Drosophila melanogaster: one gene and its partner. Changing the gene in region 1 together with any one later gene gives a genetic interaction. Each region holds a gene or a part of one and is shown in the gene's direction. Other genes may lie near its edges. The genes, in order: Adf1 and stau.

Region 1 (7,647 bases):
TCACTTTATTTGCTCACTGTCTTAACTGTAAACCATGGGTCGTCGCCGTTCGTTTATAAACTCCTGTTCCACTCGCGAATCCTTGTGCACCACATAGAAGAGCAGAGCGCCACCGGAAACGAAAAACCCCTTTTCGGCGATTATCTCGGCCAGCTGCTTCTCCTCGTCCACCTTGTGGACACAGCCCACCTTGCGGTTCTCGTAGTAAACGTGCACGTTACCCAGGCGGTAGTTGTGTGCCTTGTCGTATGGCAGCTTTTCGGTGAGCAGCGTCGCCAGGCAATCCCGCATGGTGGTGGTCTCCGGCAGCTGCTGATAAAAGTCGCTGTACAGGAACTCGGGGTAGGAGAACGCAGCCGGCCAGATCAGAGTGCTGCCGTCCTCGTCTAGGTGCACCGGATGGTCCTCCAAAGGCAGAAACTTTGGATAAAGGAGCTCCTCACTGAGGACGTCCTTTTTGCCAACTTTTTGATCGTCAAACTTAATGGCGCGCTGCTCGATGGCGTCGCGGAGTCTGTGGAAGCGTGTAAGCCGTCGCTTTGCCTCGGCAGCTTCCTTGCGCTGATTGCGTTCTATCTCGAGCTACGGAAATAACTTGTTTAATGTGGGTTCCTATCCAGTTGGATCACGTATTCTAACCTTCTTCATCTTGTTCTTGTGCAGCAGCGCGATGGCCACCTCGTTGTCGACGTCCACCTCGAGCAGCTCCTCGCACATCTGGGTGCACAGATCGAACCTCTCCAGCTCGTACGCACACTGTGCCGACCGCCAGCGGGCCTTTGTGTAGTCTGGCTTGTAGAACAGAGCTCGCTGGGCGTCGCTCAGCGAGGATCTGTAGTTCTTGATGAAGAAGTGAGCCGCCGAGCGGTTGTTGTAGAGAACGGCTAGCACGTCGGGATTGTCCGTCTTGGTCTTGATGCCCTCGGTAAAGCTGTAGATTGCCATGCGGAACTTCTTGTGCTTCATGTAAAAGTTGCCATCCTCCTTGTAGTTGAGCGCCAGCTCGTCGCGCGTGTTCTCCTCCGGATCGTACTTGAGCTTCTGCAGACCCTCGAACATCGGATGCACGTCATCCCCTGGCTGAGGAGCACGTTTCATGAAGAACGGGTGCTTGTCCATCTCCTCCTGCCAGCGGTCCTCCGGCCAGCCCTCCTCGTAACGTTTCTTCTCCAGGCCATCGATAAACGCATCCAGTTCCGCGTCCAGCTGGGCCGCCAGCTCCAGACGCTCCTCATCCGTCCAGGCTTTTTGTGCCGCCATTTGTTTCATTTGGTCTAATCAGAAACAGTGTGACCGCAGACGAACCGTTACAATATACCAACTGGCCAAAGGTGCCGCACATTTCCTAAAGGTGGCGCCTCTAAAATAAGGGTGGCCCTCCGTCTATCGATAGTCGTACGCTTCCTTCTTTAAACGAGCTAAACTCGGAACGAATTATGATCTTAACATCTTAAATCTTAACATGGTAAAACTTTAAGCCTTTTGACGCTTTACGCAGCTGTTGTGATATATCAGAAACATCGATAGTCGCCATAACATATTGTTATTGTATGAGAGTTTTAAAATTATCGATGCGCTGATGACCCCTTCATCGGCGTTTTCCCACCCCTAATTGGCAGAGACGCGACTGAGCTGGGACGTACCGTTACCGTTGGCAGAGACGCGACTGAGAAATAAAATTAAAACGTCGACGTTCCTTCCTCGTAGAAGAAACCAATCAAAATAAAAACAAACAGAGCGTGCGTTCGCGCCAAATACTTAACAACAATTAGCAAACGTAAGAAGCAAAGTGAGTGTCGTCGGCTGCGGGAGCCCGTGTGCCCAGTTTGGAACTGGGATCCGACCCAGTCCACGTCCGTCTCGTCCCCGCTAAATTTGTAACTCTTGTTTCCCCGTCTTGTCCCCTCAGTGCATACCCTCACGGCGGCCATTGAGATGGACAAGCTGGATGCCAATCTTGAGCAGCAGTTTGATCTCAATCTCATCGAGGCTGTCAAGCTGAACCCAGTGATATACGACAGGTCGCACTACAATTACAAGCACTTTGTGCGCAAGGCCCAGACCTGGAAACAAATCGCCGAAACGCTCGGTGTGCCTGGTAAGTGAAATTCGGCTGGTTTTGGCTACGGGTTTTCTGCTTTCTGTCAGCCGTCTTCGGTCCGTGCCCCAACCAGCCCCAGCCAATTGATTAATTCTGTGCGGGCGCAGGTCGAAGGGGCGGGACAAGTCAGTCGACGACGACGACAGAAAACGACGCAAAAGTGAACGGCGACGCGGCGCAGTAGCTGGCTGATGGTTAGGAAATGGCAGGGGGGGATCTATACGTGTGAGGGTGGGCGCGGGCTGCACCGCTCATAAATTGCATTTTATGCGAACTTTTTTTACTGCATTTATATGGTTGCATTTAGAATACAGTTCATTAGTAATTAAACCTAGGTTAATTTCTATCTGTAAAGATCTGCTCTAAAATGAGCGCCCCTTTCGGGCGCTCGGACTGCGGCCCTGCTTGCTCTGTCGGTGTGCAGACTGTGCTCAGTCGATATTTTTGAAGTTGCTGTACTTTGCCGTCGCGTCGCAGTAGTTGTCTCGCTCGCTCCGCAGCCATTCTGCTTGCGCCAGCGTTTATTTTCGTACACTGCGACTGCGATGTGCGCTGCTCACACACGTATACATGCATACAGCATACAGTGGCAGAAAACAGTTTGGCACGGGTTATAAATACGTATTTATTAGTAAAATAAATAAGTTGCTCAGTTCTTTAGACGAAACTATGGATTTTATTTTAATATTGAATAGGATGAGAATTCGGAAAATTAAAATATAGGGCTTTGGAAAGGTCAATAGATAAGCACAAATTAGAACAGCTGTGTCAACACTTCAGAGTCCCACTGTACATACCGGAGACCGACCAGGCAGCTTTCGTTTCGTTTTCATGAGTATACCAACAAAATGTACCGTTCACCCCACCCCCTCGACGGCCGTTGATCGAACCTTAAATTTTCGGCCAAATCGCTGCACCTCATCCGCTTTCGATTATGCAAGTAGGTGGCTGGAAAGCTGGAGTTGCAGTCAAGTGGAGCCAGCAGCAATGCCACAGGTTTCCGTCTCCTGGCAGCGGGCAGCGGGAGTCGGCGACGTCACAGCCACCGTCACGTCAACGTCTCTGCTGGCGCTGGGAAGCTGCTGTCCGCTGCCTTCCTTCTGCCACCGACGCTGCTGCTGCCAACGGTTTGTTTTGGTTCCCGATTTGATGCTTCTTTGGGTGGGTTTGATGGCATAGTTCTAGTTTCTGCACAGTTCCGGACTACACTAGTCCAGAGCTTCTTGAAGAACCTTCTGTGGAGAACCGCCACGCACAGCTGCGCAGGTGTGCTTGCACCGGTTGTTATGAACAGGTCTTCGAGAAAAAAGCATTTATTCAATGTAACAGAAACAAGATTTTAGTTTATATTAGATTTGTAATATTTTCAGAAACATTTCATTTACTTACGAATCTGGTTTCTTTTTTCTTTTCATTTATAGAGGTATACTTTATCAAGCATTTGACGGGTTACCCTATAAAATAAAATACATACAGTTTGTCAAGAAACTGTTTACACACTGTGAAATAAGTTGAATTTTTGACTTTAAAGCTAAAAATAAAGGGTTTTTTGCTTAATTAAACGCAATTTTTTTTATAAAATATAATTAAACAATATTTATTTTACTTATAAATCAAAAAACAAATTAAAAATATTAAATATACAAGAAAATAAACAACAAATTCCAAGTTTACACACTTTTGAGACTGTCAAGAAACTCTTTACACATTTTGTTTTCCTACTTTGTTTTGTTCTTTTTCTTAGAACGAACTCGATTTTTCCGTTATTTTTGGCTTTGCATTGCTTTTTACAACGCTTCTATTGAAATTTGTTGACTTTGCTTGTGAAATTTTGCTGATCAAACGTGCTTAAAGCGAATTATTAAATTTAATAAAATGCCTGGAAAGAGATTAACTTTTGAAGTTACCCAATTAATAAACTATAACCACCAGTTGGGAAAATCTTTTCCAGAATTAGTATAAATGTTTCCTGTATCCCGTAAGACCGTCTACAATGTTTTAAAAGGCTCGGAAAAAGAGGGCAGGCTTGAACCTAAGAGTGGTGGTGGGCGGAAAACCAAAATTAACAAGCGAGTAGACCGCCTTATCATGCGAAAAGTGATTGCGAACCCCTGAATCTCGGTCAGATCACTTGCTCAGGATATCAGGGAAGAATGTCACCTAACTGTGTCACACGAAACTGTGCGCCAAGTCATCCTACGCCATAGGTACTCTTCAAGAGTTGCAAGAAAAAAGCCTTTGCTATCAGAGATCAATATTGAAAAGCGTCATTCATTCCCTGTGAATGATGGATCATGCGGAAGAGTACTGGGATGACGTCATATTTTGTGACGAAACAAAAATGATGCTCTTTTATAACGACGGGCCAAGCAGAGTATGGCGCAAACCGTTGAGTGCGCTAGAAAAACAAAATATCATTCCAACGATAAAATTTGGAAAAATGTCACTGATGGTGTGGGGCTGTATCACCAGCCGTGGAGTGGGAAAACTAGCCTTAATTGAGAGCACAATAAATGCCGTGCAATATCTAGAAATGTTAGAAAACAAATTTGAAGGCCAGTGTAGAAAAAATTAGTCTGGTTAGCAACAACAAGCCAAATTTTAAGTTTTACCAGGACATGATCAGAAACATAAAGAGTGCAATGTACGCACCTGGCGCCTTAATAACTGTGGTAAAGTGATCTATACGCCCCCTCAGAGTCCTGATCTGAACCCCATTGAAAATTTGTGGACCTACTTAAAGAAGAAGGTGGCAAAAAGGGACCTAAAACACAACAACAGCTTATGACTGTAATAGTCGAAGAGTGTGAAAAGATCCCGTTTGAATATGACCTGCAAAAACTTGTCCAATCCATGAAAAAAAGGCTTCAACTTGTAGCTAAAGCCAATGGGGAACATACTACATACCAAAACTTTTAAAATTTTAATAAAATAATTAAAAAATTTAGGATTAAACTTCGATTTAGTGTTTTGTGTAAAGAGTTTCTTGACAGTCTCAAAAGTGTGTAAACTTGGAATTTGTTGTTTATTTTCTTGTATATTTAATATTTTTAATTTGTTTTTTGATTTATAAGTAAAATAAATATTGTTTAATTATATTTTATAAAAAAAATTGCGTTTAATTAAGCATAAAAAACCCTTTATTTTTAGCTTTAAAGTCAAAAATTAAACTTATTTTACAGTGTGTAAACAGTTTCTTGACAAACTGTACATTTATGTACGTATGATATGCTGATATATGTACATACATATGTACAGTGACGCACCTAATTATAGGCACAGTCTTTTTTTTTTTATTTATTTCTATCACTTCATTTATTTGGAGGATTTGCAGCTCACGAAGAATGTTGATAAATTTAACTTTTCGCACTAGGATCATAAGGAAGGCGAAGGTCGCCCGAAAATCCAATCAGTTCACATTGCAGCCTATTTTAAAACCAAGGGAGAAGGCAATAATAGTCAGATGCCCTTTTCTTCGCAAACGTTTTTTTCTTTAAGTGGTAGTTTAGGAAAGTGTATGATGAGTTTGAACATTGCATCTCGTTGCTAGAGTAAACAATCTATATTGAGTCAGCCAGCTCATCCGTTTAGCCGATGTAAAATATTGTTTAAGTTAGCTGATGGACTTTTGGAAACATGTGATACATATTTTCGGCTTACTAAAAACATTTTTTTTATTATTTTTTAAGTGAGTCATTAGAAAGGCAGTCAGTAATTTCTCAAAAAAATGTGACGCAAATTTCAGACGAAATATGAGCTTATGCGACCTTTTTAAAATCTACCAACCAAGCAATAAAATAGTAGATTGAGTTTTCAGAACTTAAGGCTTCTTTATTTTGGATCATACATATATTAAATGTGGGTTAATAGACAATGCATACATAAAGGCAACATTAGTTTAATAACTATTAAATATGGACATTTAATAATCATAAACCAACAACTCTTTTTCATTTTAGAACAAAAATGTACGAAGCGCTGGAAGAGTCTGCGCGACAAGTTCGCCCGCGAGATGAAACTATGTCAGGAATCGCGCTGGCGTTACTTCAAGCAGATGCAATTCCTGGTTGACTCCATCCGCCAGTATCGAGAGTCGCTGCTCGGCAAGTGCGCCAATGGGAGTCAAAGCGCCAACCAGGTGGCCGATCCGTCGCAGCAGCAGCAGGCGCAGCAACAGACCGTCGTGGATATATTTGCACAGCCCTTCAACGGCAGCGCCACAACCTCGGCCCAGGCACTGACCCATCCGCATGGTAGGTGAACCAGCATTTCAGCACCAGAGATCCCTGCTAAATACTTCGGTCTCTTGCAGAAATTACTGTCACCAGCGATGCACAGCTGGCCACTGCCGTGGGCAAGGACCAAAAGCCATACTTCTACGAGCCGCCGCTCAAGCGAGAGCGCAGTGAGGAGGAGCACAGCGACAACATGCTCAACACCATCAAGATTTTCCAAAACAACGTCTCGCAGGCGGTCAGCGCCGAGGACCAGTCGTTCGGCATGGTAGTCACGGACATGCTCAACACGCTGGGCGTGCGACAAAAGGCAGAGGCGAAGGTGCACATCATCAAGTATCTGACGGACATGCAGCTTCTGGCACAGCACAACAAGTACTAACTGTCGGGCGGCTGTCATCGGCAGCTGCTGCAGCTGCTCCAACTGGAGAGCGTTCTGCCCTGAGATCAAACGAGAACAGACCCACGGCTACCCACATCCACATCTACACGGGTTTGGGGGTCCTGTGCGGTCATTTTCTACAGTTCATAGGTCTTAAAGTCAAACTACAGAATAACATTAGACGTAACATCCCACAGCGTAAACCATAACGCGTAATGATACTTCCCCACGCCCATGTAGACAAACATATATATTTATATGCTTAGTTGACCCCATGATCGGTGATTTAATTCGCGCCCAGTTCTCAGCTCTGTACAAAAAATGCGATTGAAAATAGCGATTCTAGAATTATGAGTAGCTTGTTAAAAGACCGTGGAAACACTTTATATGCAGCGTATTGTAAATTTTGACTACGATTTAGTTGTAATTTGCCATCGGGTCTTAGCTCTAAAACTAAGTATACACGTAAAAGTTATTTTAATTTTATAAGTTCTGTTGTAATATGCCGAAAACGCTTGAAAGACACTTTGAAATGCTTAATTAAGTGTGACAAAGGGAAACATAAAACACCTTTTTCATAGTGATCGCATATTACACACTTTACATGGATACGAGTAAAATCGAAATAGTTGCCGGCAACGCCAGTTGCTAAACATTTTTAATGATTAATTGTGCAATTATTTGGTATTAAATGAAACATTTGAAAGTAACCGACTAGTTTCAATCGGGGTGATATGGCAACGCCGCGAGCCAGCGGCATAAACAAAATCAGCTGTGCGGGCTAATGATTGATTTTATGTAATTGAAATGGCCACAAAATCGGATAATGCTGACTCAAAATCGGACAAATCAAAGGAATCACTAGATGACGCATGGGCAGTAAGTATCCAGCTACGTTAACAGATCCGAGACTCAGGAATCCCCTTTAC
Region 2 (5,085 bases), about 11 Mb from region 1:
AGGTGCTTGGAAAGGTGTGTCACATCCGACTGCAGCTAAAATTCCATCATTTTTTTTTAGGATCGTGCGGCTGATACATGATCTTGAGTTCGAGCCACTAGCTGCCACCGCAATACCACAACAGCTCATTTTGGTTATCTAAGACATTTCTACCCTACCGTCGATAAGCTACTAAAAATAATACATATGTACATCAATAGACGGAATTTTAGAGATAAGTGGGCAATAAATATTTTTGTGGGCGGTTTGCAGCACTGCAACGTGTCCATAAAATTGAATTCTGGATTTTATGGAGAAATTTATTGAGCTACTGCTATTAATAACTCCAAACTTCACCTTAAGCACGCAACATCAAATGGAGGTCAAGGAACTGTGTTATATAAAAACAAAAGCTGACCCCAAATGGAGCTTAATTGTGGCATAAATTGGGTGGAACAATCAACCCCCCCCACCCCCAAAAAAAAAAAATAATATGTACCTGCTTCAGTTTCTCGGCCAATTCCAGGGAGTAGTCCACCTTAAACTTGGGGAACTTGACATGGACCTCTTCCACGGTCAACTTGTCGGCCAAATCCACCAGGTTCACAGTCTTGAGCTTCTCGGCTAGGGCGTAAATACCTGTCCGCTCCTGCGGCAGCAGCACGAACATGGAGAGGTCAGAGTCCTGGTAGGGCATCTCCAGGGCAGTGCAGCCCAGATCTTCGAAGAAGCCATAGTTGAACTTGGCCTTCTGGTTCATGTAGTTGATTTTAACCTGCTCCTCCTCGCCCACCCAGAAGATATCCTCCTCGGTGCGCTCCTCGCTGAACTTGTGCGCCCAGCTGCCCTTGAAGTGGAGGGCATTGAGCAGGACCAGCCTGGTGTTGTCCGAGAACGAGTCCGCGCTGACCAGCTCCGTAATCTTGCCCTGAGTCTTGGCATTCACCCAGGCATTGATGGCCTGGGCGGCGGCATCGTTGAGCGCAAAGTTAATGGACTCCGCCTCCGAATGATACTGCTCCTTGATGGCCGACTGGTAGGCGGGCTTCAGCTGCTTGCCCTCCTGCACGTACAGCTTGTTGGCAACGCGCAGCAGGTTACTGTTGCGGTACTTCTCCAGCACAAACTGGAACGTTTGGGCCACCTCCGGCGGAAAGTTGGAGACGAAGTGCAGTGCCTTGGCGATCTCGTCGGCGGTTTCACCCTGCGATCCGGCAAAGGCCAGGGCAATGCAAGTTTGGATGGAGAAGGGCGAGAAGACGACGTTCTCCTTGAGCCCGCCAGCGCTCAAAAGCTGAAAAAGTTCGCTGGTGAAACGGGCACCTCCACGCGCAAATTCCAAATTGAAATCGAACATATTGACGGACTGAACTGAGTAATTGTGGGTGTGCTGCGTAATCGCGGAACTGCGTGTGCTTGCTCTCTGGTCTGCTGTCTACACCGGAATGCCTTAAATGCCATTCGGGGCCACAACAAAAGTGAAAACATCGGCCAGCCGGCGAATGAGTCACAGCCAAAATATTATCAAAACAATCGAAGCGAATTGGTGGCGTCATCATTTTCATGATCTAGCAACCTTGGGGGCATCCCCGGGTTCATCCCAAAAATAAAAGTAATAGGGCGTTCTTTAAATAGCCACTGTTTTTCAGTTTTTGTTTGTCTGATGATAAAATTCTTAAAAATATGTTTTTATTTTTAATATTATTTTGCAGTGTGACCTTAAGCATTGGCGCCTAAAAACGCTGGCTTTCTGTCCAACAAATACTAAAATACACTTGAACAGGAAAACGCATGCTGTTGTTTGTTGTTTGTAATTCAATCAATAAGCCTGTTAGTTAAATATTTCGTAATTACAGATTTAAATAATTTCGAATTAATATTTATGCCCTTTTTAAAGTTATCAATTTCGATAGGCATAAAATACCAGATCGACTATTGTGCAGCCCTGGCGCTTCTGCGCGCGCGCTTTCCAACACCGCCGTACGCAACCACCCCGCTTCCCGCTCGCCTAAAAGCCATTATTTTTCGAGTTTCATCCGCAGCCACAGTGCAAAATAGGTTTATCAATTTAATTTAAGTGTTAAAGTAGTTCTAAAGTGTTTTTTAAGTTGCGCAAACGATCGAGGCCAGCCCGCATGAATGGATGTGCATGTGTCCATCGATCGAACGGAGTATTTGCATTCAGTTGTTGTGATTTTCCCGTGACCATTGCGTACGAAAATCGTTTTGGGAGCGCAAGAAGGTGAGTTGCGTCTGCAGATCGTTATGCCACTCTCGTTTCGGATGCGGACTGGGAATCGGAATGGGGTTACGGAACGGAATGGAAGGGAAGGGAACAGAATCCATGGATGTGTGGATCTGGGTCTAGGTCTTGTTCTTGGTCTTGGTTTGGGTCTGGGTCCTTGAACCCCTGCACGGAATGCACGAAACCTGAATTGCGCACTGCAGCTGCATTTTATCCGATTTCACCAAGAACACACAGAGGCATAAGGCAACCGGAGGGCCGTAAGAACCAGAAAAGTGCAACCAGGAGTGGTTGCTTGGCATCGGCAACGAATCAGTCGATTTGAACCCTTCTACCCGCCGCCTGTCACAATTTGATTTAGGCCGATGTCGTCGCTTCAGTTGCATTTCTATGTATATATATATATATATACGCATATATGTATGCACACACATATGTATGTATGTATATAGGTAGATACGTGTGCACCATGTCCATTTGCATTTCGCATTTATATGCCCCGCATGCAGTTGCAACTTGTTTACGCACAATCGCCGCACAAAGAAACACCTCCAGGGCCCTTTGTGCGGACAGGGAAAACATTGTTTGTGTCCGTCTCATCCATGTTCCTTTTCCTCCTTGCAGCTGCGGTCGCTGGTTCATACGGGAGTCCTAAAGGTTACAGCTCAAGAAAATGCAGCACAACGTTCATGCCGCCCGGCCAGCGCCCCACATCCGAGCTGCGCACCATCACAGCCACAGCCATGCCCACATGCATCTGCATCCCGGCATGGAGCAGCACCTGGGCCCCAGTCTTCAGCAGCAACAGCAGCCGCCACCGCCGCCCCAGCAGCCTCCACATCGCGACCTCCACGCACGGTAAGCCATCTATGTCGTTGACGCTATCAGGAATAACAATTAAACCAGATAATGCTTCATCCTTCAGTCAAATAAGAGTAGTATCAGTTTATTAAATTGTGATACCTTTTGGAGTTCGGTTCCAATTTAGCAGTTCTAACTATGTTTGGAGTTAAACAAGATGGTACGCCTTGTTGGTTCAGTTTGTTTTCGGAAATGGTTATCATCCCCTTCATTCAATCGAAACTCCATGTAAACAAGAAGGGGTAACATGGGTTAAATAGGTTTTCCAAGTCTAGAAGAATTCCCATCTATCTATGTACAGGAAGGAACTTTTAGATAGGTGTGTTATTAATATGGGATAACATCTTATAGAGTTTCCTAATCTAGATCGAGATCTCAGTATAAATTGTTTAGGCAATAATGTACCACTAGCCACTGGTTGGATCTCATGGACTCAGTGTGAATCTCAGGTGAGGAAAATGTATCTCCCTGGCTTGGTTGGATCCTAGAGAGATTCCACATCGACTCGAAACGCCAGCTTGTCTGAGCTTTATGCGTTGCGGCAATTATGTTAATTCCTGTCACTGACAATTGGTGTGAGACTCATCATCCCATTTTCTCAACTCATAAATTATAATTTCAGTGGCTCTTTGTTCTTTCGCGCTCAGCATGACTTCCGCTCGATGATAACGGGTTTGCCCTGCCGACTGCGCTGCAATTATCCTTGACGTTCGCGAGTATCCTTCGGCTCGGCCTCCAGTAGTTCAGGCTCCTCGTATTGTCTACGATCATATGTTTCGCCAAACTCTCTGCAAACTGCTCATCCAGTTCCGCATTCAGTTGCGTTTTGCCTGCCGGTCGGATCGGGTCGCACATGAATTTATTACCGACGTTCGCTGATTCTAACGTACATTTGCGTACGATCTTTTAACGATCATGATAGACTTTCATCAGTGCCAAGTGAGAGGTGAAATATGCAAGAAGATTAAAGTTATAGAAACTGAAGCGGGATCTAATAAGTTCGCAAGACAATAAATTAAAGAACTCGTAAAGATAAGAGATGAGATTTTGCAAATGAAATCAAATCCTCTTAACCATATAACTTGCAAGTGAAAGGTACGAAAGGAATAAACTTCAGATATTACTACAGATTTGTATTAGCCTGAAATATGGATTATCACATTGCTCAGACTTGTTTTCAAAAAAGAGTGTCCATAAACATTAAGAGCATTCAATTAATTACCTTTCCCTTACGCAGGACATTTTTATCGCATATCAACTGATCCTAATCACAAATTGCCCATATCAATGTTAATTTGAAGGCTTGTTTCCGTACTGATTTAGCGATTATAAATTGCCAAAAATATTTCCTTGTCTTGTGAAATGTACGAGGCTGTAGGTAAAGGTCGCTAGAGTGCTCTCCTACCCTCGATCATTGGGAAAGGAAAGGTAGGGAGCGGTTGCAGGAGCAGGGTGTCGCAGTAGGTGCGTCTCAATTGAAACTGACAGTTGGCGAAAAATGACACGATGCGTAAGAGAATGCGGCTTTTGTGCTTTGTTAGGATTTTGTCCATTGTTCGGCGTGGTCGCTGTTGTCTGCTATTCCGCAGGAACAACAACATACGGCAGAGGGTTGGGGGGGGCCACGAAGCTTCTAGGACCTCTCTCGTTGGTGTTTTTGTTTTTCCCGTGCGCCAGTCGATGTACACTTTTGTCTCGATGGCCTCTATAATCCTCTTGGTGTGCATTGTTTGCTGATATAACCGCAGAAGCCAGCGCATCCGCCCCAGGAGCTCTTACTTGTGGCCATCGATTAACCAATTTGCTTGCTCTATCCTCCGTTTTGCAGTCTGAATCATCACCATCTCCACGCTCAGCAGCAGCAGCAGCAACAGACGTCGTCGAACCAAGCCGGCGCCGTCGCTGCGGCTGGGGCTGCCTATCACCACGGCAACATCAACAGCAACAGCGGCAGCAACATCTCCAGCAACAGCAACCAGATGCAGAAGATCCGCCAACAG

The links.
Region 2: of Adf1 (region 1) and stau, changing one suppresses a phenotype caused by changing the other (phenotypic suppression), as found in Drosophila melanogaster (one study listed by BioGRID).

What each region holds. Positions count from the first base shown.
Region 1 is NT_033778.4:6,660,660-6,668,306, forward strand, and holds Adf1 (Adh transcription factor 1), read left to right. Parts: upstream 1-1,610; 5' UTR 1,611-1,788; coding exon 1,789-1,789; exon of another isoform or gene 1,790-1,909; coding exon 1,910-2,098; intron 2,099-2,735; exon of another isoform or gene 2,736-3,397; intron 3,398-3,490; exon of another isoform or gene 3,491-3,536; intron 3,537-6,060; coding exon 6,061-6,354; intron 6,355-6,413; coding exon 6,414-6,718; coding exon of another isoform or gene 6,719-6,781; 3' UTR 6,782-7,426; downstream 7,427-7,647. Other genes in the region: Dpit47 (DNA polymerase interacting tpr containing protein of 47kD), read right to left, coding at 22-582, 640-1,269; CG15908 (uncharacterized protein), read left to right, coding at 7,526-7,597. UniProt on the Drosophila melanogaster protein: May play an important role not only in the regulation of Adh expression but also in the transcription of other genes.
Region 2 is NT_033778.4:18,122,691-18,127,775, reverse strand, and holds the start of stau (staufen), read left to right. Parts: upstream 1-1,996; 5' UTR 1,997-2,221; intron 2,222-2,848; 5' UTR 2,849-2,897; coding exon 2,898-3,082; intron 3,083-3,902; exon of another isoform or gene 3,903-4,031; intron 4,032-4,913; coding exon 4,914-5,085. Other genes in the region: Spn55B (serpin 55B), read right to left, coding at 479-1,336. UniProt on the Drosophila melanogaster protein: RNA-binding protein which forms ribonucleoprotein complexes (RNPs) that play critical roles in the localization, translational repression and turnover of RNAs during embryogenesis, neurotransmission and neurogenesis.